Pelodiscus sinensis: one gene and its partner. The protein of the gene in region 2 purifies or fractionates together with the protein of the main gene of each other region. This does not show direct contact. Links are inferred from orthologs where the notes say so. Each region holds a gene or a part of one and is shown on either strand. Other genes may lie near its edges.

Region 1 (15,350 bases), on a different chromosome or scaffold from region 2:
GGCTCTTTTGGAGTTGAAAGTTTACTCCGCCCAGGGACTAAAAAAAGTGAATCAGGCAAGTGCTGGCACCCAGCCTCGATCTTCATTAGGAAAGTTTTCCAGACGGTTCCTTACTGTTGCTTACAACTCCTTTTCGCAATGCTGAGAACCGTACTGCTATCTGTTGGACCGGCTCTGAGCAGGGACACAGGACACGCTAAGAATGCCAGTTATGAGCCATTTACAAATAGGGCTCCTGATGCCAAGAGCTGAAGTGCTGATAGCCCCAGAGGGAGGTTTTCAGAAAGCAGCCCTAGCATAGACAGGGCTCCAGAGCGGTGTCCCCTGTAAGCTGCGCACATGCATACCCGCCCAGGAGAGCTTCTGTTTCTTTGGTGGTGCACAACAGCACACGTCCATGCACATAACGGATTCTGCACATGGATGGAGAAAAGCCCTGATACAGTATTTACAAAGTACCAGTCATTTAATGAGCAAATAGAACCATTAAGATTTTCTAAGATCTGCATAGCAAAGGCAAGTTGTGAGAGCCTGACAGTTTTGCAAAGCTGCATCAGCCAGAGGACTACTGTCCTCAAGGAGAATAAAAGTGGACACTTGCAAATTCAAACTTCAGTAAGATGCTTTCCCCTCACATCTGGATATGCACAAAGCTCCTACTGGTGTCAGGTTATCCAAGCACAAGGAGAGGCAGAGGACTGATCAAGAGTCACTGTGGAGATCACTCATCAGAAAGTATTGTACCAATTCAGGATACAAGCTGGTTCACGCAGATAAATTATTCCACTACCAAAGATACTGAATGTTGTTACATATTTCAAGGAATTTTCAGGGAAAGAGATTATCAAATTGAGGAATGAAAAGAGCAAGGGCTACAAGTAGAGATGTGAAAGTTTAACCATGAAAACAATTAACCAATAAGCCTGGGCTAATTGGTTAATGTTCACAGTTTCACACAGTGTGGGGAGACAGCTTAAAAGCTGGGTCCCAGGGAGCCGCCCGTCGCCCCACATGTAACCACTGAAATTTTACACAGTGACCCGGTTATTTAACAACATGCATTTTAACACCCCTAGCAACAAGTTGATAAATTAAAAGGTAACACATAAAAACTAGATATTTGTCTAAAAAGACTGCTAAAGGAATTTAAAAATAAAGCGATCAAACTACTAATCAGGAATAAGTTTATTAAATTTTGCTACTAAATTAAGGAATGGGGGACGGATGCAAACCACGTCTTCTTAACACTGGGTGTGATGGGATATTAGAAAATTGGGGAACCCAATAACTGTCACATGAAGGGATTGAAACAAAAGTTAAAGAAACTGTTTGAGAACATGATGTGAAAGGACAAACCAGAATGGCTTCTGCGAAAGAAAATTCTGGCTCTCTTTTTTTACACTAGAACTCTTTATCTACTACGTTGATGATGTTTGAAGAACAGCAGATAATTTGGTCTTAGATGAAATTTCTCACTAGAGGGTGCTAAGGAAACCAAGATGTCACAGAGTGATGAAGTAAATTGTGTTATGGATGATCAGAAACTGACTAAAATTTGCAAGTGACATTTTAGTTTAGTCAAGGCAAAAGGTGTTCAAAGTTCAGAGGGAACTAACTCAGTGATGTCCATCCATCACCATGTGCTCACCAGAAAAGCCTGGACAGGTGAGCAGACAGCAGGAGAGATGTGATTCAGTGTTGACAAATGCAAGATAATTCCTTCCAGTGTGCACTAGCTGAACAAATCATACATATTGCTGGGTTCTAAAGTGAACAGATTCTGGGAAGAGAGGTGGCTGTCACAGACCAGATCAGCGTGCAGTAAAGATTTTTAAAAAGGAAATACGATGCTGGGACTCTAGAATAGAATAGAATAGAATAGAATAGAATAGAATAGAATAGAACAGAACAGAACAGTGATTCTCAGGCTGTGATCCATATCACTGTGCCAGAAGAAAGAAGCTGCTGCTACTGCTGAGGGTTAATTTGCCTGGAACTCACATGAGAAATAGTCATGTGACTAGCTGACATCTGGTTTGGTTTTACTCTCACTGGTATTCTTAAAATAAAACTAACCTCGCAGCATTCTGAGTCAAATAAAAGGCAACGTTCTGTCGCTTCTCTAGTCATAGCAGTACTGCTCTATCAGTTCAGTGGTCAGGGGACTAACCAAGCACCTCAGTTCAATTTTCTGCTGCACCAGACGTCCCATATAACTGTGAGCAAGTCAGCCTTTCTGTGCCTTGGCTGCTCATCTGTGAAATGGGGACAGTGATACTGCCTCACCTCACAGGAGTGTTGTAAGGCCATCAGTACATTAAAGATTGAGATACTAAGTAGCAGGGGTCATATAGGTATTTCACACCCACAAACTGCTTCATAAATTCAATACATCTTAATTAATGGAGAGTTCCCTGTATCCCCTCTCTTGATATTGATGTGTACAGACAACCTTCAGCTTCAAGTACAATATCTTCCCTATTCTTCCTCCTCCAAGAGAGACTCTTGGACTACGACAATTTTCCCAGGGATTATGTCCTGACCTCTTTCCCACAAGGTTGCTGAGTCACAGCCGCCATGAGGAACGCAGCGGTACTCATTATACAACACTGTTGCCTGTCTTTATATATACACAAGCAGCAGTGCTAGAGAGGGAAACTGACCCATGGCCTTTGAAGGTCAACCAGTCGTGCAAGTGAGTGACCAGGCTGCGCGTCTCTACAAAACTCCACCTTTTCAGTTTTTTCAGCTAGAATGCAAGACCCCCCCCATATATATTTTTTTCAACTCAAAATACGGTCACTACTTTCAACTACAATTCAACTATTTTAAATATAAACAAATTACAAACCAATACAATCCCCAACTTCAACGTGATTTATTTGGAAACCAGTGTTACCACTTCTCTCCAGCCTTTAGTCCAAAGGTTATTTGTATGTTGAGAGGGGTGTTGGAGGGGCCTGTACGTGGAGTTCACCAAATTCATTCATTCTGAATGGCTTCTCTGACCAGATTAAATAAACCTCATCATTTCTTTTTCAGGCCCTGAAGTGTCCAGCACAGAGAGCCAACTCCCGACTTTCACCAGACATCACAGCAATTATCAAAAGTGAAACCAGCATACAGAAGTTAGTAATAAAATGGACATTACAGGAACTCCCATAAGCCAATGCCTTAAACACTTTCATCTGCTCCTTCAAACACAACAATTAATCATCTTAATGAATTATGAGTATTCAACCCACCTGCTCTGTATGGCCATGACTGAGGTTTTTCTTTATTTTCTCACTGGACAATGCAAGTTGTACAACACTGATCTTGTTTTTCAGGAAGGGACGCATAGTTCATTTGCCTAACGATCTCGGCAAACAGTTCATCCACCATGGTTTTACTCTTGGCTGATGTTTCCATGAAAGGACAGCCCCACTCCTGAGCCAAAGCTCTGCCTTCTGCAGATAAGACCTCCCTCTCAGATTCCAGATCCACTTTGTTCCCGACTAGGATTAGGGGGACTTTTTCATATCTCTTCACTCGAACAATCTGGTCCCTCATTGGCTTGATATCCTGATTAAACAATCCAACTGGTTAATACACTTATTATACTAATCACATTTTAAAACAGTAATCACATTTGATTGCTGTAAAAATTAACACTGGTTTCAGGAAACAGATCACTGTAAAAACATGTGTTTTAACAAGCCACAGGTCTTATGTGTAACTGAAAATAAACATAAAAGCTTAGGAAAAATTCCTAAATTGATACCTTGGATTTAGACTAGGGTGCGTCAAATTCAGACATTTATCTTCCATTTGTAATGCCTATGCTTCATTGCGCTTCCTGTGTGTTTAGAAAAAGCACTACTGCAATGCAAAATTACCTCAAAAACCTTTTGGTTATTACTAGAGACAGTCAGGAATTGACAAAACAGTTTTCCATTGAAAAATGCAAATTTGTCAAAACCTGAACTCGTTAAGAAGATTTCTTAGGTCCAGAAAGTCATTTTCGGCCACACCCAGAATGGCCTGGTGGTTAGAGCACTCACCATCCCAGGTGAACTCCCTAGGGTGGGTATAATTTTCTGTGGAAAGTTTCAAAAAGGTCTCAGTTTCATTCTGATTAAGAACCGGAAACACTGACATCTCAAGTGTTTTCATGGGCTGGGTGACCAGTTTCCTTGCCCAGCTCTAGTTAAGATAAAAGCAGATTTTGTGTAAGTTACACGTTTTGAACAACTGAATCAATTTTCTGGTCGTCAGCAAGATTTGCTGCAAAAAGAGAAGCTTGCCTTTAAACTCATGACGGAAACTGAAGTCTACAATACGCATCTATGTTATGCGATCACTTAGATGGGAAACTTGTGGCCAGTCTTCTGCCTGAGAAAGTTAATTAAATGTTTAACGCGCTATCGTCTCCCCCAAGCTACTTTTAAGTAGCTTGCTTAAAAGTGTTCACTGTGAACACACATACAGTTGGTTCTGCCTAAATGACAAATTTAGATACAATCAAGACATGTGAATCCCAATAATCTTCCCAAAGGTGAAAAGGGAAAAGACATTTGTAAGCTGTACTTTTGAAACAATAGCTCCATTGCCTCCACCACATCAGATTTAAGATTTTAATTTGTTACAATAAAAAAAGTGTATAATTTCGTGCAAGATTCTGGGACAGAAATAATTAAGTGCTTGAGGCAGCCACTGTTAACAGAACTTCATAGGGAGATTTACACCTACACTGTTTTGATTAAATGTGCTAAAGAAAAAAAAAACCAAGTGACTGAAGTGGAATATATTCATCCACGCTTCATTTTTTTTTCTTAACTATGTGCTTTGAGGGAAACTTCCCCACTCCTAGGTCAAATAAAACTGGGGAGAAACATCCCAGCATGATTGTAGTTCCTTTGCAAAGAAAATAAATCCCTAACTTGCACACAATTTATCTAGGTATGTACCCTCGTCTAAGATAACATTCAGCCTTCAGCAGAAACATTCTGCCTAAATGGAGGGTATAAAAGATTGTGCCAAGCAGCTGGACTACACCCAGGTCAAGGAACCTAAGTGAAGCCAACAAACAACATCCACATCTCTGCACTTACAGTGTTGCCAAGTCCAGTTATTTCCCACAGATGGAAGCTGCTTATTACCAGAAACAATTTAGGCCACTTAGATTGTGGGATTTTTCTGCTTCTTGTCAGTTTTTGCAGTACAAATTTGTGCATTGTGAATTTAATTTTCACATGTGACCTGTCTTTTTCATGAACACACCGCCCACACTGTGTGAGCATCAAGCTAACACTTGATGGCAGCTTGTTATACAGAGAGAAAAATATCAGGGTTTATTAGCAAAATTCACAAGTTATAAGATAGCAAGTTCAGTTCAGAAAGCAGGCACTCAGCCACCCTTATGAGATTAACTGCCAAAATATTCCTTTTAAAAAAGCAGTGTTCAAAAGGACACGGGTCAAATCTAACCCCAAATTTGGATTTTACAAACATTTATTTTTAAAGATGACTTCAGACATATGCTTTATTTACAAGAGTCCAATGAGAATAGTGTTGCTACCTCTGTATTGTAGCATCCACCTAATGCTTGGTAATTTTCCCCATCTATACTAAGAGTGTACAAAACAGCAAAAAGAAGGCACCTCCCTCTTAATGTGCTTTTGATATTAACAATATAAATTGTAAAAAAAAATGGAGGAGGAGTCCAGCGGAACCTTAAAGATAAATATATTGTTTTGGGCATAAGCTTTTGTTGGCATCTGACAAAGTGGGCTCCAGCCCACATAAGCTTATGCCAAAATTAATTTGGGAGGCCTTGTCTATACTTACATGGAGAGCAAACACTGGCGATCGATCTTCTCGGGTTCGATTTAGCGGCTCTAGTAAGGACCTGCTACTGAACGGTGATGGCAACCCCTTGGGGTCACAAACAGTTGACGGGAGAGTTTCTCCCATTGACCTCCTGCACTGGGACCGCCCCAGAAATTCGGTTTAGGGTATGTAGACTCCATCCCTGCAATTCTCATATCTGAAGTCGTGTACTTTAAGTCTAATTTCTGGCATCATGCTGACCCGCCCATAGTCTGTAAAGTGCCACAGGACTCCTGGTTGGTTTTGTGGAAACTGACTAACACGGCCACCCATGTGAATGCGAATTGGGCTTTGCTCCTGCTGAAACATTGCTTTTGGGGGGAGGAGGCTAGCCTGAGGACACAGTGGGCAGGGAGTCCGTTCCAGCCAAACCCGCCAGGCGTCCGGTGGCACCTCACAGACTCACTGACGGATGAGGGCATAGGCTTTCCTGGGTGAATCCCACTGAGCTGATGAGCGGGAGGGGAAGGGACAGCAGCAGGAGCCTGCTGGGGTGAATGAAGTGTCCCACTGGCAGCACTCTGGTGCGGGCGGTGGCTCTCCACAGGGGGCTGCGCTAGCCAGCTGGCCAGTCCCCCTCTGGCGGGTCACCCCCGGGGCTCACCTGGAAGCTCTGCTGGTTGACCAGGCTGTAGACCAGGATGAAGCCCTGGCCGTTCTTGATGTAGAGGTCCCGCATGGAGGCGAACTGCTCGGTGCCCGCCGTGTCCAGGATCTCCAGCACGGAGGGCGACGAGTCCACCTCGATCTCCTTGCGGTAGAAGTCCTCGATGGTGGGGTCGTACTTCTCGATGAAGGTGCCGGTGACGAACTGCACGGTGAGGGCGGACTTGCCCACCCCGCCCGAGCCCAGCACCACCACCTTGTACTCCCTCATGGGGCCGGGCCGCGGCGGGCGCGCTGCGCCGGGCCGCTGGGGGGGGGGGGGGGTCGCTAACGGCCGGCGCGGCCTCGCGCCATGGCCCGGCCCGCGGCTGCTGGGGGGCGGACCGCCCGGAAGGGTTACACCGCGCACTTCCGGCCGCGGCGACACCGCCCCGCCCCCAGCCCTGTCGGAGGGGGACCCCGAGCGCGGGGACACCGCCCCGCCCCCACCCGCCTCAGGGGGGACCCCGAACGCGGGGACACCGCCCCGCCCCCACCCGCCTCAGGGGGTCCCCGAACGCGGGGACACCGCCCCGCCCCCACCCGCCTCAGGGGGGACCCCGAACGATGTGACACCGCCCCGCCCTCACCCGCCTCAGGGGGGACCCCGAACGATGTGACACCGCCCCGCCCCCACCCGCCTCAGGGGGGACCCCGAACGACGTGACACCGCCCCGCCCTCACCCGCCTCAGGGGAACCCCGAACGATGTGACACCGCCCCGCCCCCACCCGCCTCAGGGGGACCCCGAACGATGTGACACCGCCCCGCCCTCACCCGCCTCAGGGGGGACCCCGAACGCGGTGACACCGCCCCGCCCCCACCCGTCTCAGGGGGGACCCCGAACGCGGTGACACCGCCCCGCCCCCACCCGTCTCAGGGGGGACCCCGAACGCGGTGACACCGCCCCGCCCTCACCCGCCTCAGGGGAACCCCGAACGATGTGACACCGCCCCGCCCCCACCCGCCTCAGGGGGACCCCGAACGATGTGACACCGCCCCGCCCTCACCCGCCTCAGGGGGGACCCCGAACGCGGTGACACCGCCCCGCCCCCACCCGTCTCAGGGGGGACCCCGAACGATGTGACACCGCCCCGCCCTCACCCGCCTCAGGGGGGACCCCGAACGATGTGACACCGCCCCGCCCCCACCCGCCTCAGGGGGGACCCCGAACGCGGTGACACCGCCCCGCCCTCACCCGCCTCAGGGGGGACCCCGAACGCGGCGACACCGCCCCGCCCCCACCCGCCTCAGGGGGGACCCCGAACGCGGTGACACCGCCCCGCCCTCACCCGCCTCAGGGGGGACCCCGAACGCGGCGACACCGCCCCGCCCCCACCCGCCTCAGGGGGGACCCCCAACGATGTGACACCGCCCCGCCCCCACCCGCCTCAGGGGGGACCCCGAACGATGTGACACCGCCCCGCCCCCACTCGCCTCAGGGGGGACCCCGAACGCGGCGACACCGCCCCGCCCCCAGCCTGGGGGCTCCCAGTATGATGACAGCGCCCCTCCCCCACCCACCTGAGGGGGGCCCCTAATCGTGTGACCCCCACCTCTCGCCCACGGGGAGGGCCCCCACTATGGGGAGGTGACAGCGCCCTCCCCCCGAGCCCCCAATCCCTAGCTCCGGGCCATGCCACACAGCTCTGCTGCCACCTGAGGAAACAGCCCCGGGTCCAGGGCTGAGCTGTGGTGGAGCAGTCGGGGGTAGGGGCAGCCCCATCCTGTGTCCTCTCAGCTCGGGCTCTTCTTCCCCACTGCCTGGGCCTGTGTCTCCCCCAACTCCCAGGAGCCGGGCCCCAGCTCAGTCTGGCACCTGGAAGGGGAGACAGCATTCAGGGACAGAGTCCAGCACTCCTGGCCCCCAGGGAAACCTTTCAAGCAGAGACACCAGCCTCTTAAAAACTTTACTACAGGATCTACTACAGACCAGCTACCCCCACAGAAGAGGTGGATGAGACTTTTTTTTAAAACAACTAACAAAATCATCCAAAGCACTGGATTTGGTGATGATGGGGGATTTCAGATAGTCAGATGGATGCTGGGAAACTAGCACAGCGCGGCACAGATTATCTAAAAGTTCTTGGAGTGCATTGGAAACAACTTTTTGAGAAAGCCACTGGGGGGAAGCTGTTCCAGATTTGATTTTAACAAATGAGGAACTGGTTGAAAATTTGAAAGTGGAAGGCAGCATGGGTGAAAATGATCATGAAATCACAGAGTTCATGATTCTAAGGAATGGTAAAAGGGAGAACAGCAAAGGAAAGACAATGGATTTCAGGAAGGCAGATTTTAGCAAACTCAGGGAGCTGGTAGATAAAGTCCCATGAGAAGCAAGAGTAAGGAAGAACAAGACAGTTGACAGTTTTTCAAAGGAACATTATTAAGGGCCCAAAAGCAAACTATTCCACTACACAGGAAAGATAGAAAGTATGGCAAGATTAATCTCATTTTGTGCCTTCGTCTTTCTAATCTTGCCCCTACATTCTTGTGCTATTTGCTTATATTCATCCTTTGTAATTTGACCCAGTTTCCACTCTTTATATGACACCTTTTTCATTTTTAGATCATGTAAGATCTCATGGTTAAGTCAAGGTGGTCACTTGCCATACTTTCTAAACATGAGTCAACAGTGTGACACTGGCAATAAAAGCAAACATGATTCTGGGAGGCTTTAACAGGTGTGTTGTGAACAAGATATGAGAAGTAATTCTTCTCCTCTACTCTGTGCTGATTAGGCCTCAGTTGGAGTATTGTGTCCAGTTCTGGGCACTACATTTTGAAAAAGATGTGGAGAAATGAGAGAAGGTCTAGAGAAAAGCAACAAAAATGATTAAAGGTCTAGATAACATGAACTAGGAGGGAAGACTGAAAGAACTGGGTTTGTTTAGTTTGGAAAAGAGAAGACTGAGAATGGAACATGATAGCAGTTTTCAAGTACCTAAAAGGGTGTTACAAGGAGGAGGGAGAAAAAATGTTCTCCTTGGCCTCTGGTAATAGGACAAGAAGCAATGGGCTTAAATTGCAGCAAGGGAGGTTTAGGTTGGACATCAGGAAAAACTTACTGCCTATCAGGGTGGTTAAACACTGGAAGGTTGTGGAATCTCACCGGAGATATTTAAGTGCAGGTTATCTAGACATCTGGCAGAGATGATCTAGATAATGCTTGGTTCTGCTGTGAGGGCAGGGGACTGTACTTAATGACTCCTCAAGGTCCCTTCCAGTTCTAGTAGTCTAGGATTCTATGATAACTCAGGTAGAGATTCAAGATTCAGGTAGAGTCCTGGCCTGTATTTTTTTTTAATCCCACTTAAACCAAACCATTGGAGAAAGAGGGAGACTAAGATTGGTTGGGTGAAACTAAGATTCGTCCAGATCATGATACATTTTGATATTGCAACATTTCTTGCAAACCAGAAATGCTGAAAAAGTGTCACCTTGGAAATACCAAGTTGGCATTTCCACAATGAAACATACTCCCCTGCACCCACTGCCCCAGACTGAAATGTCTCAGAGGGATAACCATGTTGTTGTTCAGACTAAATAGTTCTGTGGCACCTTAGAGACTAACAAAAATATACAGTATCATGAGCTTTCCTGGTCAAAACCCACCTCATCCACCCCAGCTCATCTGATTAAGTGGGTTTTGCTCACGGAAATTTGTGATACAGACTGAAATGGACATTCTGGTCAGCTTTATGGATCCACAAGACTTATCACTTTCAGCCGGCTCCTAGGACTCGAGGGTCTATGCATCAATGGCTGGGGATCATAAGGTTTCCAGATTCCTAGTCCAGCTGGCTCTTAGGCTGCCCACTTGGGCACTGAGCTTTGAGACATGGTGGGCACCTATCCAGGGTTCTTTGAGCTTCCAGGCTGTCAGATGTGGATCTGAGAACAGCACCAAGAAGAGCCAACTGCTGCCCCTGGGCATTCCAGCTTCTGCCTGCATGGCAGGGAGGCTGGAAGCCCTGACATGGCAGTGTTGCCCTGGAGATGCAGCTTTGCAAACTCAGGGTCACCGTGAGGAAGTTCATGTGGCATGGTTGACTTGGAGATGTGGACCCCAAAAAGCCAGAGTTCCCACCAACCTGCTAGGGGAACTGAACTGTTGGAAACCTGCCTCTGATTCAACAAAAGTTTTGTTGGGCTGGACTTGCTTTCATAGACATTTCAGGTTTCATGAACTAGTGTTTCACCACCAGCTCTCCTTTTGAGTGCCTCCCACAACTTGCTGAGGAGAACTCCCAACTATGTAACATTGACATCTCCTCCTACCTTGAAGGGGGACTCCAAAGCCTGTGATGCAGACACAGCCCTCAGCCAAAAGAGGGGTAGAGCCCAATCACTCCCATCTGCTCTCCGGGTAGTTCAGTGAAGCTCTGATTGCGTGGCAAATTGCGGGCATGATGCCAAAACCTAGGAAGGGCTGCGCTCTCATGCCTCACCCCTTCTACTCAGCATTACACATGCCCTCTTCCTGCTGATGCTTATCCTGCCTGCCTCCTTCTTCCTCATGCTGTCAAAAGGACTGTGCCCTTCCCCATTTCCCCCTCAAACTTCAGGCAAAAAGCATCACACAAACAGAAATCACATTCAGTGCTTGTTACTGGTAAACCCATCCTGCCTCTTTATTACTGGTTGAACACACCTCCCTTTCCCCACAAGGGGCCACATATTGCTGTCCAGAAAAGACTGAATGCCAAAAGCATACCACACAGCTCTGCACCCCTCAAACAGTCTCCACACCTCTGCAGGACACAATGAATGACTGACGGCTACAGCAGTGTGCTTAGATCAAGGGTGGGCAAATACCAGCCTGTGGGCCAGATCTGGTCTGCCAGGGTTAGCCCCTGGTGGGCCCCCACCCCACTATATTTTCCTGCACCTCCACAGGTACAGGGAGTACAACTCCCATTGGCCACAGTTTGCTGTTCCTGGCCAATGGGAGCAGCAAGTGCCCATGTCTGTGGAGGTGCAGGTAAATATAGTGGCAGTGACCCACCAGGGATTAACCCTGGTGAGCTGCCATTTTGTTTCCCGCCCCTGGGCTAGGTGCTCTCTCATTCTAATTCATCTCCCAGCCACAGGAGAAAGGCTCTTATTGACATCAGTGGAAATTGGATCAGGCCTTCTCTGAAGGTATAATACTCTTTGTCACATTAAAAATTATGTACCCATATCTCTATGGAAATCTGATTGTAGATGGCTACACCCCCTCACAATTTTCATGCAACAGGATTAGAAAACTTTTAAACCCCATATTTATGTTCACCTGCGACACCACCGATACTCTCATGAAATTGTATCTCATGGAATTGCAGCTGGCAAGGGATATGAAGGGTATCAAGAAAGGTTTCTACAGGCATGTTAGCAATAAGAGGGTGATCAGAGGGAGTGTGGGACCCTTACTGGATGAGGGAGGTATGTGACAAATGATGTGGGAAAAGCTGAAGGACTCAATGCTTTTTTTGGTCTCTATCTTCACAGACAAGGGCAGCTCTCAGACTACTGCACTAGGCAATGCAGTATGGGAAGGAGGTGGACAGCCCTTGGTGGGGGAAAGAACAGGTTAGGAACTATTTAGACATACACAAATCCATAGGTCCAGACTTAATGCATCCAAGGGTACTGAGGGAGTCGGCAAATGTCATTGCAGAGTCTTTGGCCATTATCTTTGAAAACTCGTGGAGATCGGGAGAGATCCTGGATGATAGGAAAAAGGCAAATGTAGTGCCCATCTTTAAAAAAGGGAAGAAGGATAATCCAGAGAACTATAGACCAGTCAGCCTTACCTCAGACCCCGGAAAAATCATGGAGGAGATCCTCAAGGAATCAATTTTGAAGCATTTGGAAAAAAGGAAAGTGATCAGGAACAGTCAACATGGATTCACTAAGGGCAAGTCATGCCTGACCAATCTGATTAGCTTCTATGAGGAGGTACTTGGCTCTGTGGACATGGGGAAGGCGGTGGATGTGATATACCTTGACTTTAGCAAAGCTTTTGATATGATCTCCCACAATATTCTTGCCAGCAAGTTAAGGTAATGAAGTATGGATTGGATAAATGGACTGTAAGGTGGATAGAAAACTGGCTAGACTGTTGGGCCCAACGGGTAGTGATCAACATCTCGATGTCAGGTTGGTGGTCGGTTTCAAGTGGAGTACCCCAAGGATTGGTTTAAGGACGCATTTTGTTCAACATCTTCATTAATTGATGAGGGGATGGATTGCACTCTCAGAAAGTCTGCGGATGACACTAAGCTAAGGGGAGAGGTAGATATGCTGGAGGGCAGAAATAGGGTCCAGAGTGACCTAGAAAGATTAGAGGATTGGGCCAAAAGAAATCTGATGAGGTTCAACAAGGCCAAGTGCAGAGTCCTACACTTGGAATGGAAGAATCCCAAGTATTGTTACAGAGTGAGGACCAACTGGCTAAGTAGCAGTTCAGCAGAAAAGGACCTGAGGATTACAGTGGATGAGAAGCTGGATATGAGTCAACAGTGTGTCCTTGTAGCCAAGAAGGCTAATGGCATATTAGGTTGCATTAGGAGTAGCACTGCCAGCAGATCTAGAGAAGTGATTATTCCCCTTTATTTGGCACTGGTGAGGCCACATCTGCCCCTGGAGTATTGCATCCAGTTCTGGGCCTCCCACTATAAAAAGAATGTGGATGCATTGGAGAGGGTCCAGTGGAGGGCAACCAAAATGATGAGGGGGCTGAAACACATGACCTACAAGGAGAGGCTGGGGGATTTGGCCTTATTTAGTCTGCAGAATAGAAGAGTGAGGGGGGATTTGATAGCAGCCTTCAACTACCTGAAAGGAGGTTCCAAAGGAGATAGAGAGACTGTTCTCAGTAGTGACAGATGGCAGAACAAGGAGCAATGGTCTCAAGTTACAGTGGGGAAGGTCTAATTTGGATATTAGGAAAAACTATTTCCCTAGGAGGGTGGGGAAGCACTGGGATGGGTTCCGTAGGGAGGGGGTGGAATCTCCGTCCCTAGAGGTTTTTAAGTCTCGGCTTGACAAAGCCCTGGCTGGGCTGATTGAATTGGGGTTGGTCCTGCTTTGGGCAGGGGGCTGGACCCGATGACTCCTGAGGTCTCTGCCAGCCCTATGATTCTATGATTCTAAGGTAGGCAGATCTGTGAATCTATACCTGCACTGGCTTTAATCTCAGTCAGGAGCTATTAACTCACCATGTAACAAAAAGGATAAGGTTGAAGGGAAACAATTCTTATTAACTCCGTAGGAAGGGATATCACCTGATAGGATAGCATACTTAAAACTGGTTTGGTCATGTCTACACAAGCAATATGTAGCCAATTTCATTAAAAGAAATTCTATATATTCAGTTTGCACTGATTAGAACTTGCTCCCCAAGGGACGTGTTAGTTGTGTGAATAGGTTCTTATCACAGTGCTGAGACTTGACTCTTTAGCTTTATTTGCTGTTGATTTTTGTATGAAAAGTCTTACAGAACTGATACAGAATATCGTGAAACAGAGACTAGTGTCCTATGGCTCTAGGAAATTATTGGTTTGATTACTTGAATTTTGTTACTTTTCTTGCTCTCCTAGTTTACTCATTGTCTTAGAGGACATGAGCTCAAGAGACGCTAGGTGTCAGTAAAGGATAGTAAAAAAAGTAACTGATGACTGAAAATCTGCAGAAATGACCTTCAACAAAGACAGCCAAATTACAGTATTAGACATTGTTTGTCAAACAGTGGGATTTCCCAGACAAAGCACTTCTCCTGTACATGTCAGTATGAAAATACAAGTGTTCCCTCCCATCCCTCAGAGGAACTGACTGGAAAAAAATTAATCACAAAGCTCCCACTTCCACTTTGAACTAAAACTCTGTCCCTTTTTAACACATTCAAATGTCATCCTGTGCTGACAATTTGTAGCATTCAGAGAAGAATCCTATTACGTCAACACACGATCTTGTTTGTTCCTGGATACCCGAAAACTCTGCTTGACAGTATCTGAAGTGAGCCTTCCATCCTACAGAATATGTAGGTACTATCCTTTTCCTCTACATGTTGTCTGTCTGACTGCACACTTTTTTTTAACTCTTTGTTTGTGCAGCCCCTAACACAATGGGCTCTGTTCTGGGTCAATTCCTGTTCCGAACAGTGGAGTGGTCTCCTGTCAATTTCAGGAGAAAAAAAAGCTGTTAATCTGTCCTAAGGATGGCCCTGCTCCCAATTCATAGTGCACAAGCAGTTGTATTTTGCTCAGACATGTTATTCCTTCACTAAGGGCACGTCTACACTACAGCGTTATTTTGAAATAACTCACATTATTTTGAAATAAGGTGAGCGTTCACACAGTGAGCCTGCTATTTTGAAATTATTTTGAAATAACGGGCTTCTTATTCCCATATAATAAACCCTCATTCCACGAGAAATAACGCCTATTCTGAAATAGCTATTTCGAAATAGCAGTAGTGTGGACACTCCACTGCTGCTATTTTAGAATAGCTCCTCCCCAGGGCCATTCAGAGTAATTACTCTCCAGTGCTTCCTGGGGCTCTAAATTGAGGTAGCACGTCTATATTCGGGGAGCCTGCCTCAAATTCATTTAGAGGCTTCCTTATAGTATAGACTTGCTATTTCAAAATAGTTATTTCAGGAGTTGTTATTCTGAAATAACTTGTTTTGAAATACCCTTGTAGTGTAGACATGCCCTAAGGGAATAAGAATATCATGGGCCAAACTGAAAGGGGACTTCTAATTGGTGTAATAAATTTGCAGTCCTTCTCAGCACGTACGGTAATTTACACCCAGGCAGAGTCACCCACATTTATGACTTACATATACCT
Region 2 (15,050 bases):
GGAATTGTATTCACATTTAACATCATCATTAGAATTCACAATGTTGTCTGTTTACTAGCAGGAGAACAAAAAAAAAATCAATTGGCTATTAGTTAGGAATATCAAGCTCAAAAAAATGAAGCCACTTTTTAAAATAAAACTGCATTAAGATAACAATAGGGTACCCTTAATGAAAGAAAAATCTCTCTCATTTTTAAACTTATTTTTAAATAATCATTTACAATCATTATATCTTACATCATGTCCTTTCAGAAGCCAGAAGTTAGACAATATGAATCATTTACATGCAGTTTGGAAGACTGTGACAGAATTCAACAAAAGAAGCCTTCACTATGAATTAACTCTCACAAGGCTCTTAGAAAGCAACACCAGCATGAAATAAGGGTAATTAGAACTTTCATCCCTAATTTTGAGCTTCCTAGCACTGCTCCATTATGTCTCTAACCTACCAGGGACCCTTCTCCCCCTAGGAACTAAAGAAATATGAGGTCTCAAAATACATGTGTGAAAGAGAAAAGTGACACCAATGAACAAAATCTTTAAGATGTTGATATCTTTGTTATCTTTTTTAAAAGTGCAAGAGAAAAATCACATTATCGTACTCTACATGCATTTCCCATTGAAGTTAATTTATAGAGTATGTATCTATAAACAATGTGTTTAAACGGATCTGAAATTAATAAGATTCTTGAAGGGTCAAGGAATATTCTTAAGTTACATAGCCCTGTTTCTGTATGTTTTACCAAATCAATAAACAGAGTTTGCTACCAGACTTAAAGCTCTCAGATGAAATATGGTGAACATTTTCATTTGGGGTGAATGTTACCCTTTAATGTAAGATTTACAATTGCGATGTGGGGAAAAAAATTTTAATTACAGAAGTGCAAAACTGCTCCTGCAATATTTGCAAATGATCTCCAGAATTCTAAAGACACGTGTTGCCAAATCAGTGACTAAATTAGAGCTACACTTAAGTACTCTGATAAAGTTGGACTGAGTTAAGGACCAGAGGCCACACTATATGAAGGCTTCATTGTTTCAAAAGACAGAACAAAACCAACCCCGATAACACCATTTTCCTGCTAAATTCCATGCCATTTGGGTAATTCCCTGTGAGTGTACAATAGTAGTTAAATAAAGAGTAGAAACCCTGGTAACACTCAGTAACTTCAATAACTACATTTTTCTATTGTTTTTTTACAAAAAAGGTATTGAAGGCTCCAAAATATAAACAAGGCAAACACAGGGTAAATTTTCTCAACAATTACATCAAACCATTCAAACTTTTTTTGTGCAAGAAGGGAATATATGCTTGTGGGCAAGTCTCTACATGCCATTTAGCTCAAGATCAGCTGATATCAACCTGTTAAAGAGAAACTCCTCTCTCAAAATCATAAGAATTTTTGCTCTCTAAAATGTGTATTATTTTTTAAGCAAAAGGCCTAATAGTTATCTACATACGTCCATGGTAATTCAGAGGCTAACTCTCCTCACCGTGTCTCATAAATGTTAACTCTTTTCTCCCTCAACTAGAACAAATACCATTCACTCAGAACACCTTCATTCAGGGATTTCTTATTATTCTTTTTATATTTCAAAAAACACTCAACTTCTAGACAAGTTGAATTTTTCTTTCCTTCAGCTATGAAGTTATCTTTTGAGGGACTGTTAATCTTTTAGACTCTGTGACAAATACTAATCAATTAACTAATCACCCTCTACTAAATATACAATTGCCAAAGAATTTCCATCTTAGTCACAAACAGTGCACTGAATCTCATGCACAGTTTTTTCCTATTCACCTTTGCATCACATGCTTTTCTTAAGTGCAAACTGAGTCTCCCCAGGGCAATGCAGAGGCATAAGCAAAGCTATGAAAGAAAGAAGAAAAATGGGGGAAGCTGCTGATTTCAAAAGGAGCAGCTGGAAGCTCTTTGGCTCCAAAGTTAGCAGGCAGTGTGACACCACAAAGATCCACCAAAGTCCATGTGGCTGCATGCGGGTGAAGGCTCTGAACATGTGCTGCTCATTTCAGGACTGGAGTTTATATAGGCACCTACAACATGGTTTAGGGGCCTAATTTTAGGTGCTCTTAAAAAAAAAACCACACCCCTTGGGCTTATTTTCTTACATGCAGGGAAATGTTCCAAAAGAGCACTGCTGAGGTTGAGAAGGGAAGAGACTGACAGATACGTCTATCCCTGTCCCCTCCCCAGTCTGAAATGAATGAAGATCCCTAGAAAGGCAATCAGCATAAACAGTCATGTATGTGTTTATAAGCTAGACAAAAAGACAACAAAATACACTGCCTTGGGGTAGTCTCTGCAGCCACAGAAAGCCAGACAACCATATCCCTCTGGTTGGGATGGCATGTCAGTGACGGCAACACACAAACAAGGAAATAAATCAAAACAGCCATGTCTGAAAACTTCTACCCATTGTTTGTCAAATGGAAATACAATTTTCTGGCATCAAGGCATGTACTACAACCATTTGCAGTCAAAAAGTAAAAACTATAAACATCAACATATTACAAGGATGGAGCTGAGGAAAACAGGGGCACACACTGTTCAGTTAGTGTCAGAGGGGTAGCCGTGTTACTCTGTCATTGAAAAACAATGATTAGTCCTGCAGCATCTTAGAGACTAAAAAAAAAAAAAATTACAGATGGTATCATGAGTGGATTGTGCCCACGAAAGCTCACCATACCATTTACTGTTCAGTTAATCGCTTATTTTCCAAAAAAGTCAAAACTTTTTATTTAAAAAAAAAAAATCACACTCATCTTTGAATGACACTGGATTTAAAAAAAAAAAAAAAAAAAAGAACCAACAGTAAAACCAGGAGGAAATAAAATATTAATTTAGGGCTCTATGTTGCATTCTCTTCACACTGAAAACTCAACTGCACAAAAATCTCAGAATGACACCATTGTTTATATTTAAAAAAAAAAGCCCTATGGCATGTTTTGGACAAGTGTGGTGTGGCTATACTAGGACTACATACAGTACCACCCCACTTAGTCAAACACCATCTAGTGTCAGAGAGGTTTCCTTCTATAACAAAGCAGCATTTAAATAACTTCTAGACTGCAGTACCCAATCACCTTTTCCCAAAACAATTACTGGGGGGGAGGGAGAGATATTATATCTCTTTTTAATACAGAAAAAAATAACACTTGTTATGCAGAAGCCAGAGCTCAGACAAACGTTAGCTTGTGTGTCATCGGAGTAAAGTGACTGCCACTTAAATCTGGTATAATTTTCTATTGTTTCAAATTCATATACATATTTGTTCAGCTTAGTTTTTTAAAACAGGTTGCCAAGAGTATTCTAGGATACTTAAACAAAATGAAAAATTTGCATCCATTGTCAGTTAACCCAACAATGAGCACACTAATTAACTTAAAAGTATTATCAGGTAAGTCAGCTAACAATGTGCCAACTGCAATAATTACAAAGGGAGTTTACAGTCACACACACACCCTACTTTTTCTTTTAAGGAGGGCTCAGGTGATGCAAGCTTTGTGGGCAGGAAGATGACAGAAAATAATTATTAAATGGGTTAGCCTGAGGGAGATGTCAAAGGTCAGCCTCCAATCAATCTTCCTATCTTACTCAGGCCTGTTGAGCCATATGGTTTTCCAACTTTGGCACACAGAGACAGCCAAATTACTTCATTTCTACTATTAAAATTTAACTTGTATAGCAAGGAGACACATGCTGTCTCTCAATCAATGAGACTAACATTCACCCTTTTAAAACAAACCTAAATGCATTTTGTTAATCGAAGACACACCAAACAGCTTATTTAGCCATGTAATGATGGTAAATTGTCTTACTAATAAGAGAAAACAATGTTCTGTTATTTCCAATTACTCTCCCTCCAATCCCTTGCATCTGAACATGAACAATTACTGACTTCTTCAATCCTTACCCCATTTACTATACTGTATGGCTATTCACTATTAATCACTCATAACTGCTGCTCCTTACAAAGTCATGCAATCTCAGATTTACTTTTTCCACTTACTAAACACTGTACAGAGTAGAGCTGTTTCACACCCACATGAGCAATATCTTACTTCTCACTATCCTCTTTGGCTACCCCCCACCCCCCAAATCATCCACTTGTCAAACAGGTTATTCTCGGAATGCTGAATTTATCTCCAGACAAATAAATCTGTCCTACTTTGGTTGCCCCCCTATCACTTATGCCCTCTCCCCAGCAGGAAATGATGCCACACCACTTAGCCTGGACTTTGCATCTTAAGAATTCTGAACGTTTTCAGCAAGGCAAACTGGTCACAATTTTAAGTGAAGTCAATGCTTTGTTTAAACACAGAAACAGTGTCTGCCATTAGAATCCTTCTGATTTTTCAATGAGCACATGTCTACTTATATGGACCCTTATCAGCACAGTATACTTGGAGCAATCATTTGCTTTGTTCATTTTATAAAATAAACCAGGAAGATCATAGACCCAGTCAGAAGAGGTAACTCTGAAGTCATTTGTTCCCCCTTTCTGAATCCCAGTAGTGTCAACTGAAAAGGTAGACGTTAGCTGCTCTGTCCAGAAGAGATTTTTTTGTATTGTTCTTAACTTTTGTGTGCAGCCTAGGGGGCCCTGCCCTCAGATGTACAGTAAACAAAGCAGGGGAGTAGGTGTTGTGCAAAGAGAGATAGAAGAGAAATTGACACAAACCTTGTAGACTTGCCCATATGTGCCATTACCAACTACTTCCACCAGCTCAAAAATCCCAGCTGGGTCCTACAAGATACAAGAGGGGGGATGGGGTGGGGGAGAGAAGGAGGGTTACATTTTTTGCAAGGCGCTGGCTCATGGCAGAGAGAGTCTTGTAAAACAGGGTCTGGAGCGAGAGAGGATGTTGGCGGTGCAGCTGTTGCGCCCTGTTTTTTCCACGCACATGCCAATACATGCAAACAAAGGAAAGCAGCTCAGGGCTGAACTCTCCCCCCTCTCCCCACACACACACGCGCGCGCGCACCCCCAAGGAGCTCCCACTCCGGGGGGGGCGGGCCAGCAGCAAGCAGGCCGGCCGGCCAGCAGTGTCCCTCCCGGGCGGCAGCTGCCCCCCCAAGCTGGGAGCAAAGCCCCGCCACTCCTCGGCCCCCACCCAGCCCCGCCGCGCTCCGGGCTCGCCCTAACAAAGCCCCGCCAGAGCGCTGCCCCCGGGGTGGGCGGCGGAGGCAGCCCGGCGCCCGCACTCACCCGCAGGGAGGAAAGGTCGATGTCCACCAGACTTTTCGCCGGAGAATCGTTCGCCATCTTCCCTGCTCTTCGTGTGTCTGTGCGCGCCGGGCTGCCAAGCCCCGCCGGGCGGCTGCACGAGCTGCTGCGCCCGCCTCACGCCAGCCCCTGCTGCACGGGGCGAGAGGCAGCGGCGGGCGCTGGCCGGGCTCCCGGCGAGGGAGCTGGGGTCGGGAGGGTTTCCCCCTCCCCTGCTCGCTTCAGCTGGGGCGAGCGTGTGTCGGCAGCGGATTTACACCATGGGGAGGCGGCGCTGGCAGCTCCCAGCCGCTCTCTGCCCTGCACGCCCGGGCACGGGCATTACACAGCCAGCGCCGCTCCGCCAGCCCCGCTCCGGCATAGGGCGCTCGCACCCGCCCGGCGCGCTACCAAGGAGCGGTCCGCGGGCGCCCTGCTGCTGCTGCTGCTCCTCGCCGGGGCTGCCCGGCTCCGGCACCCGGGCACAAGGCACTGGGCAGGGCGCTTCCGTGCCGACCTGCAGCGCTGGGCTGAGTTGCGGGAGTGAGACAAAGATAACCACGGGAGGAGGAGAAAAGCGACACCAAAGAGACCGTGGGCAGAGAGCAAACAGCTCCCCCTTTCCTTCTCCGGCAGGAAAAACCAGCGGAAACACACAACACCCCAAAGCACTTCTGGGAAAAAAAAAAAATCCTCGGCTCCTCTCCCAGCCTCGGCGTGTGAGTGTCTCGGCGGCTCTCTCCCTCTTCAGCAGGGGTGTGGCAGAGAACAATAGATAACTAAGTCCGGCCTCACTCCGCGCCGCTCAGGGCGCTGCCCTGCCTTGCCCAGGCGAGGGCTGGAGACACACATCACACCACCCCACCCCCCTGGTAACAATACACGCTCCAGACGCGTGTTAGCCACAGAGACCCAGCCCAGCGTCGTCTAGAGCAAATCCCCAAGGCTAGTCGAAGGAGGAGGAAAGCAGAGGAATTCCCAGATCAAGGTTGAAAGGGCTCGCAGATATTGTCCAGCTCTGAGGGACACATCAGGATGAATAAGCATGTTTGCCCAGCACTTTGAACGTGCACAACACTATGGAAGGGAGAAGCTGTAGTGACACCTTTCCATCAGCCTTACTATATCTGCTTCTGCATAATGGAAGGATGAAATTAATTTACCCCTTGAGGGCTGCCAGCAGCGTTGTTATAGGGATCACAGCGCTTAGCTGAGTTGCACAGAATGTAAAAATGTTTTTTATGCTACTTTTATTAAGTGACCAAAGGGTATTGGGGAAACATGGTCTACTAAACACTCTTACCAGTACATTCCTAGGAACGTATAGTTCCCTACAAGGAATTACTCAAAATCACCATTGTTACCTCGCCTATAATGTGGCTCCAGTTGATTGTCAGTAAAGGGTAAAGCTAGGGCTATTGCAATGAGTTGTTACAAACAAACACAAATCATCCTGTATTAATCTACCCTGAGACCAACATGCTTCAGTGCAGGGGTCGGCAGTCTTTTCAAACCAGAGTCAAACTACATTAAAATTGAGAACAAGTGGTCAACAAAGAGCAGCATAAGAATGCCCATTTGCATGACTGAAAATATCCAACTTAATATGATTGATAATTGACATGATTAATTATAGCATAAATGAAATGTACTCATAGACTTTATTTAATGGGACTTCTGCTGCTGGGGGTGCAGTTTGCAGATGTGAGGGTGCAGGAGTCAGGGATGGGGTGTATAAAGGGCTCAGGGGAGGTGGCTGGAGGGTGTGGGAGAGGCAGGTCAGGGTGCTGGGGGAGGGAAGTAGAGTATGGGGTGCAGCCTTGGGGCTGGATTACCTTTCCTGGCCAGGGCTGGGCTGGGCTGGGCTGGGCTGCTGCACATAGGCAGCAATGGCTGGATATGGGGCTGGAACAGTATCGCCACAACCAGATCGTGGCATCCCCTACTACCCATGCTGCAGCAGGAGGGGGGCCGCTGCCAGCCCTTCCTGCAGCCAGACGGGGGCCAGACCGCTGGGCCTGCCCTAGGATCGGGGCTAGGCACAGGCCGCTGCAGCCAGATGCGGGCTGAGCCCCAAATAGGGCGTTGTTGGTCAGGCTGCCGTGGCTATTGCAGCCAGGCTATTGCAGCAGTTGCAGGGCCATCATGGCTGGGCCACAGGGTCTGCCCCAGTGCAGCCAAGATGGAGGCATCTGCCACTGACAGCCCCTGTCACTATCCTGGCTGGGAGAGTGCATGCGTCCCCTCCAGTGCGCCCTCAGCTGGCCTGTTAAATGAGCAGAGTCCCACAATTGGCTTTTGCCACAGTGCAGCCGGTTCTTACTGGGGCACACCGCCTTACTTTCACCTCTGGTTAAAGGTGAAATAGACTCCAAAAAAAGACCATCTTGAAAAGAGTAATAACATGGTTTTTAAATTTTGGAATTAATTTTTCATTTTAATTTTAGAAGTTGCATCTGTTTTGGGAATGACAGAAGAGCCATGTTTGGTTCCATACTGAGCCATATTAGGCTAATGAACCATCGGTTGCTGACCCCTGCTCTATAGAGATGATGCCCTTCCAACTGCTAAAGCCACCTCAAAACCATTTCCATCCCAAAGACTTTATCAGAAGTTTAAGGCAAACAATAGCTTCCAGAATCAGACCCTGCAATCGGATAAAGGTGTTTTTAACGAATGCCTTACTGACAAATCTTGTTCCTGGAAAGACAGACAGCATGGGCATACATTTATTCACAGGAGTTGCTTACTTCATTTGGACTGCTTATACAAGTCATACATGCACACTTTTTTTCAGGATTGGGTTCTTAATTAAGTTCTCTTCCATATCAAAACAGAAAAGTTAATGTCACTATATACAAGAAAAAATGCTATCTATCTGCAAAAAGGTAGAGTTACACGTGTTAGCAACCCCACAGTTTTCCTGCTTCATTTTCCTTTAAAAGGTTAACCATAATATTGCATACAAATAGTTTCAAGGATTTGATTTACATTTATAGTAAATTTTAAGTTTTCTTAAATGGAAATATTGAAAAAAACAAAATTAACCTGTTGAAGAGTAAGAGTTTTAAAGTATCTTCAAAGTTTAAATGTTTTTTATGCAAACACAGGCCTGGATCATAGAAGTATAACTGCATATACAGAACTCAAGGTCCTTGCAAAAGCCCATTGATTACCATGGGATTTCAATGGCAGAATCAGGCCCCAACATTTTGCAAAATTTACAAGTATATTTTTACCCAAACATATTGATAAGAGGTTTCTTAATTTACATCATTGTGAGTGCTTTGTCCTTTTATGCCATAATGCATACACAGATTTACAGGTTCTACAGAGCTGACAGATTCTAGTGTTTAGGTAAGTCTTCCTCAAGATAGGGCCTAAAACGTTAGGAAAAGGCTCTGAGTTTTCTTTTCTGTGCAGAAAGCACCTAATACCTTGTCAGCACTATTGGAAAATTTAAAAAAAGTTACTGAAATGTTTGCACATTAAGCCTACACATAACAAGCCTGTGTTTTGTCTAAGTTTTGGTAAACCCCTGCAAGTCCAGAAGACCTCCCAGAAGGACATCTCTTTCACTCAAGCCCACTAGTTAACTAGCCAGCCCTTTCTTTCATACAAAGCACTGTTGAAAGGAGAGGAAGGAGTGTGGCTTGCATTAGGTCAGGAAGAAGGGTCTCCCTGTGCACACCTCTCAACCCCTCTCCCCCACCACCAAAATTATTCCCTGTGTAATGGCCATAGCCGGTTTTTCATAAAAAACTAATCCTTCAGATGAAAATTACAGGCCAAACCCTGTCCTATTAAAATGAGAAGCATTGGGAAGGGGTTTAGCAGCTCAGGAAACTCCACAAGGTTCCTTGGAATGCTCCGCTCAGATACTTGGGAATTCCTGGATGAGAAAAGAGGCACAGCCTTCAGGCACAGTAGATCCTGGTAGATTCCAGGGAAAGGAAAGCTTAGTGAGGAGTCATCTTTTGGCAGAGGTCACTAACTTTGATCTTCCAATGACTCATGAAGTCCAAGTGTCTCTGTAGGTTTCTGTAGGTCAGAGGGGAGAACATAAGTCACTGTAGGTCAGACAAGAGAATGATGCAGATCCAGAATGCTCCTTTCTATGTTTTCTAGGTCTTATTCCACCAGCTTCTGCTCTCCTCTGGTTACAATAGCAGAGGGGAACATATAGGTCCATGCCCAAATGTCACTGTCAAATTGTTTAGGCCCAATATTTATTGTTTATGAATGAGAGGTGAATACAAATAGAAATGCTTTCATGAATTACTCTTTACATTTAATTAAAGCTATTTTAAAATAAAATTTTTCCCTGGGGTGATGGAAAGTCAAACACAATAGCATTGTGCTGGGGAATGAGAGTCAGAGAGTGAAATTGACTATACAAGGACTATGACCTTGACTAGGCTGGTTTTGCTGTCCAAACAAATTGAAATACAAAAGGTACAAAAAAATCAAGAAAGCATGAAGAGTGCTTTTGATTTTAAAATCCTAATAAGTGAGGATGTTATTAGTAACACAGGCTAGCCAGAGCCTCAGGTACTTTGAAGCAACTTTGCACTGGGCTGGTGGTGAAATTTGTGCTTAAAAGGTTTGAACAGCCCAGAGAGGATCATCTCAGTGCACAGATGATTCTGCTGTGCGGAAAGCCAGGCTGCGTAGTGGTAGCCATGCTGGTCTCAGGATAGTAGAGAGACAAGGTGGGTGAGATAATACATTTTACAGCAGTTCAAAAGCTTCTCTCTTTTACCAACATAAATTGGTCCAGCAAAAGATATTACCTCATCCACTCTCTAATGCCAGAGTATGACATGTATTCTCCTCCTACCGGCATACCAAAGAAGGGTGATGTAATTGCAGGAAAGGAGCTGAAGGTAGGACACATCCCTACACCATATTGATCCTAGACTGCATTTTTGTAGTCGGCATAAGTTATAGAAGTCTGAGGCCATGTCTATACTACAAGATTAGGTTGAATCTATTAAGGTCTGTTTACTTTTTCAGCACCCCATTTTGTAAATTCGAAGGTGCATGTCCCCACTATGCACAAGAGTTCAATACAGTGCATCCCCAGTGGGGTGGCCACCTTTGACTTTGACAGCAATGCATTGTGGGATGCCATCCCACAGTTATTGCTGCCCCCTTTGCATTCTGGGTTAGGCTCCTAATGTCTGATGGGAGAAAAACAGTGTAGTGTCATCAGCTACCCATGGTGCACTTTTCTCCCTCCCATCCTGCTTGAAAGCCATAGCAAACGATTGTTTCACTCCCCTTTTTCCCTGGTTTTCTGTGTAGATGCCATAGTAAGGCAACCATGGACCCCTTTCAACTGCAAAGAGCCGAGGCAAGCATTGCAGATACCTCACGCCTTATGCTGCCGTGTGTCCAGGGCCTAGAAAGGAGCCGACAGAACAAAGAAGAATGCGAAGAGGACATGAACACAAACATGCATGAAACCATTGAATGGAGCAATGAGCAGATGCTGGCAGCATTCGATCCTGTTGACACAGTGGAATGCTGATTCTGGTGCCTTGAGACAAGCATAGACTAGTAGGCCCACGTTGTCCCATAGCTATATCCAGGGCTCGCCAAGCGGCGGCGAGCCCCGCTCACCAGCCACACGGAACCGCATGCTGTGCATGCGCAGACCACGCTGCGTGGCCGTGCCAGGCTAAAATCTACTCGCCCATTACATTAATTGTCGAACCCTGGCTATATCACTATCAGCAGTGGCTGCAAAACTTCTGTATGCATAAGGCCACTTTCCTGGAACTTTGCAGATTCCTTTTCCGCTCCCTGAAGCACAGAAATACCACTCTAACAGTTGAGAAGCAAGTAGTAATAGCTCTTGCTATTGGAAGCTTATAATGTCAGACAGCTACTGGTCAGCTGGGAATCAGTTCATAGCAGGGAAATCTACAATGTGGGGCTGATGTGATCCAAGTAGCAATATTATTCTGCTATGAAGGACAGTGACTCTGGGAAACATGCAGGACATAGTAGATGGCTTTGCTGCAATGAGGTTCCCTAGCTGCAGGGGAGCAATATATGGAACACACACCCATCTTGGCACCTAACCCCCTTGCCAAGGAGTACATAAACTGTAAGGGGTACTTCTCAATGGTGTTGCAAGTTTTGGTGCATCACAAGGTTCTGTTTCATTGACATCAACATAGGGTGGTTGGAAAACGTGTATGACAGGTGCATCTTTAGAAACTCCAGTCTCTTCAGAAAGCTGCAAGTTTGAACTTTATTCCCAGACCAGAAAATTACCATTGGAGACTTTAAAATACCAATAGTGATCTGTGGAGAGCCAGCCTACCCCTTGCTTCCACGGCTCATGAAGCCATACACAGGCATCCTGGACAGCTATAAGGAGCAGTCCAATTACAGACTGAGCAAGTGCAGAATTGTGCTTTTGGACATTTAAAGGGAAGGTTTTGCAGTTTATTAATTAGGTTAGAACTCAGCAAAAGCAACATTCCCATTGTTATGGTAGCCTGCTGTGTGCTCCATAATATTTGAGAGTGTAAGAGGGAAATGTACATGGCAGGGAGTAGGTTGAGGTAGATTACATATCTGCTAATTATGAGCAGCCAGACACCAGGACACTGAGGACAGCACATCAAGGGGCACTGCAAATGAGAGAGGCTTTAAAAAAAAGTTGTGAATGACCCAACTAGGGATGTGTTGCAGGGTAGTTCTTCTGTCCCTCACCGGGGGCACTGTTGAGCCCCTGGGCCTCGTGGCACCACACCCCACATCTTCTACAACCCCAACACAGTTATATCCCAGAGTCTCTTGTCCCCAAGACTATGTGGCCTGACAGCCAGAGTCCCTAGCAATGCCCCCTTCACCCAGGGCAGTGTGGCCTAGCAGCTGGAGTCTCTAGCAATGCCCCCTTCACCAAGGCAGTGCAGCCTAGCATCCAAGTCAGAAATGAAAGTGTAACATCCCCTTGGGGAATAAGGAGGTGGAGTAGAGGGACCCGGGCCCTCCCTCTCCACCAGGTCGTGTCAGTGGTGGGTGCATCACACCACTAGCTCCACCCAAAACACACTAAGCTCAGGAATTCAGTTCCGCACCCTGGTCCACTTCCTACCCTGTCAGGATTGCTGGCGTCTTCCCCACCTACATCCTCTGGGTCAGGCCCTTCTGTGGCCAGTCTCTGCTGCAGCATCCACCTGTTGCTCCTCCTCCTCTGGGCTGGAAGCCTCCCTGGCTGGTCCCCGCTCGCTGGCCTCCCAGTCTGGCTTCTCAGAGAGCTCACCTGCAGGAGCTCAGGAAGCACATCCTTCCCCCTTGTTACACTTTGGTTCGGTGATGTGATGGGAGCCTCAAGGGTTAAAGCCGACTACCCAGTGAAAACTACTGGATGATGGTGAAACAAATTATTTTTATTAAGTGGAATGATTTTTTTTTTAATCAAAACTAACAACTAGGAAATGGTTTTTTTTAAACTAGCAATTGCCCAATGCTTTTACAGGGTAGAAAACTCTAAACTTAGCTGTACTTAACTAATTACAAACTTCTTTGATTACAATTCAACTATACCAAATCACTGTCTCTAATTTGCTTAACGAAAAATACAAAAACAAAGCCAATATAATGATAATAAAAACTCCGTCCAAAGCCCGCCCCTCTATGGTTATTTTAGGACAGCTGGTGGAGTTAGTCATAAATCTACTTTTACAACTTAACAACTCGGTGGCTTCTATTTCTAACACTTATACTTAGCCTAAATACAACACTACTATACAACACAAAATTATACAATTTAAACAGTGTGGTTAACAGAACTTAGATACACTTTACAGAATTACACAGTGAAATTAACACAATTTAACTATTAATTAAACTAATAACCAATATATTTAAGCAATACTTACAAATCCAGAAACGATAACAACAGAAAGACACACTAGAACTCGGAGCATGCTCAGGACTCGTGCACCCCTATATTTGACTCGAAGGGTGGGGAGGCAGCCTCAGGGTGATCAATCCTTTAGCCGGGAAAAAAAAAAAAGACACGTGCCCTCAATACACGGAACCTCCGTCGAACAAAGGGGTAGAGGGTCTTTTATACAAAAATTCGATGTCTAATGCCATGCTAGGGTCTGCATTTGGCAGGGCCTGATAAGCTAGTGATGAGGTGGTATGACAATACTGCCCTATAGGAATTTTCGTGATGTATGCGTGATCCCCTCGTGGACAGGACCAGATGGGGCATAGTTAGTGTGAGACAGTTGTGTTTTATTACTCTATGTTTGCTTTTTCCCTTGCCCCTAAGACCGGTCAAGCTACGGTCAAATGAGGCTTATCTGTAAATGCAGCTAGGTGCTATCTAGTAATGCTCACCTCCCTATTTTATGATGCCTGTGAGTCTCAGGATGCCTGTAAGGTCAAATTCCATTCACAAAAACTGCATTGTGCTTCCCATGCTCCTCTGAGTATCTGGGTTTTGTGTGAGGGTCCTTGTGTGGCAGGATGGGCTATACGCGAAGGCTGTGGACAGAAAAAGCCTGCTTTACAACACCCCTCAGCAGCCAGCCCAAACTGAGCCTCCCTCCAGGCTTTTATACCTGGTGTGTAGTCTGAGCATGCCTAGCAGGGCTGGGGGCAGGGCTTCTTCAGCCAGGTGGGCCTGATTAGGCTCAGCTTTCACAATGTGGGGCTGGTACACCCTGTCACAGGATGTAAAAATGCATGTGATTTGGTAACTGTGTAACTGCTACAGATTTTACACATGGGGCAGCAGCCATCTTCCTGGGATCCGGTGCGCACCGGGAACCTGCCTTTTAAGCTATCAGGATGCTGGCAGCAGCATGGGGTGGCAGCCAGCTCCTTGGGAAAGCCCTGGTCATTCTGCACCTGCTCAGCCTATTGTTGAAAAGCTCCTTGCTCTTCTCCAGTTTTTCTGTATAAAGCTTCATGAGCCATGTGTGTAAGGGTTACACTAGGCCTCCCAGTCCACCAAACCACTTTGAGAAACCTGCTAACTGGCTGTGCCAGTGTGCCACAGAGCCTTGCGGCTCCCATTGACTCTCATTTGCCATTTGCAGCCAAGGGAGCCGTGGGAAGAGGCGTGGGCTGGGCCACTTCTTCCTGTAGCTCACCTTGGGTGCAAACAGCGAACCAGAGTCAATGGGAGCCACGGGGCTCTGTGTTCACGGTGCATATAAGTAAATACACCAGAATGGCTAGTTAGTAGGATTCTCAAAGTGGTTTCGTGGACCACTTTGAGAAACACTACTGTACACACTGGTTTTCCTGAAGATACTTGCATCATGCATCTTTCTGGACCATCCTGTGTTGATGTCAGTGAAACACCCATGGTGATCCATAAGCACCTGTAATACCATAGAGAATACCCATTTCTACTCTGATGTACAGTGGCTCTAACCATGCTTTGTGCCTACACATAATCTGGTATTGTGATGGATAGGAGGAGGGTTGGCCAGCATTCAATGACTAAAGGGTTAAACTCAGGTAGCGAGAGGATGTTGGCAGGGAGCCCTAAGAGCCAATGGGAGAGGGTGTTGAAATTTGAATTGAAAAGATATACTTGCTTGCTGTTTTCTTTGTGAGAGTTTTTAAGCTAGGAGCTGGGGAAACAAGATGAATTGAACCAAGAAGAACTACCATGCTTACAAGGAATACTGGACATGGAAATGGACTGGACCTTGAAGCACAGCTTGTAAGTAGGTAGGAAAATGTCTATTTAGTCCCAATCAGGTTATTTTCTTTGGTTTGTTGTTTGGTTAAACTTCTCTGTGGTAGGTCCACGTGCTAAGTACAGATACCATTTT

The links.
Region 1: the proteins of MAP4K4 (region 2) and RAP2C purify together in Homo sapiens (affinity purification with mass spectrometry; 3 studies listed by BioGRID and IntAct, counting the BioPlex papers as one, with this or other methods). This does not show direct contact. The link is inferred for Pelodiscus sinensis from reciprocal best matches to the Homo sapiens genes MAP4K4 and RAP2C.

Annotation. Positions count from the first base shown.
Region 1 is NC_134723.1:45,812,217-45,827,566, reverse strand, and holds RAP2C (ras-related protein Rap-2c), read right to left. Parts: upstream 6,940-15,350; 5' UTR 6,749-6,939; coding exon 6,476-6,748; intron 3,565-6,475; coding exon 3,286-3,564; 3' UTR 3,246-3,285; downstream 1-3,245. UniProt on the Homo sapiens protein: Small GTP-binding protein which cycles between a GDP-bound inactive and a GTP-bound active form. May play a role in cytoskeletal rearrangements and regulate cell spreading through activation of the effector TNIK.
Region 2 is NC_134711.1:230,986,775-231,001,824, reverse strand, and holds the start of MAP4K4 (mitogen-activated protein kinase kinase kinase kinase 4), read right to left. Parts: upstream 6,187-15,050; 5' UTR 5,290-6,186; coding exon 5,233-5,289; intron 4,771-5,232; coding exon 4,705-4,770; intron 1-4,704.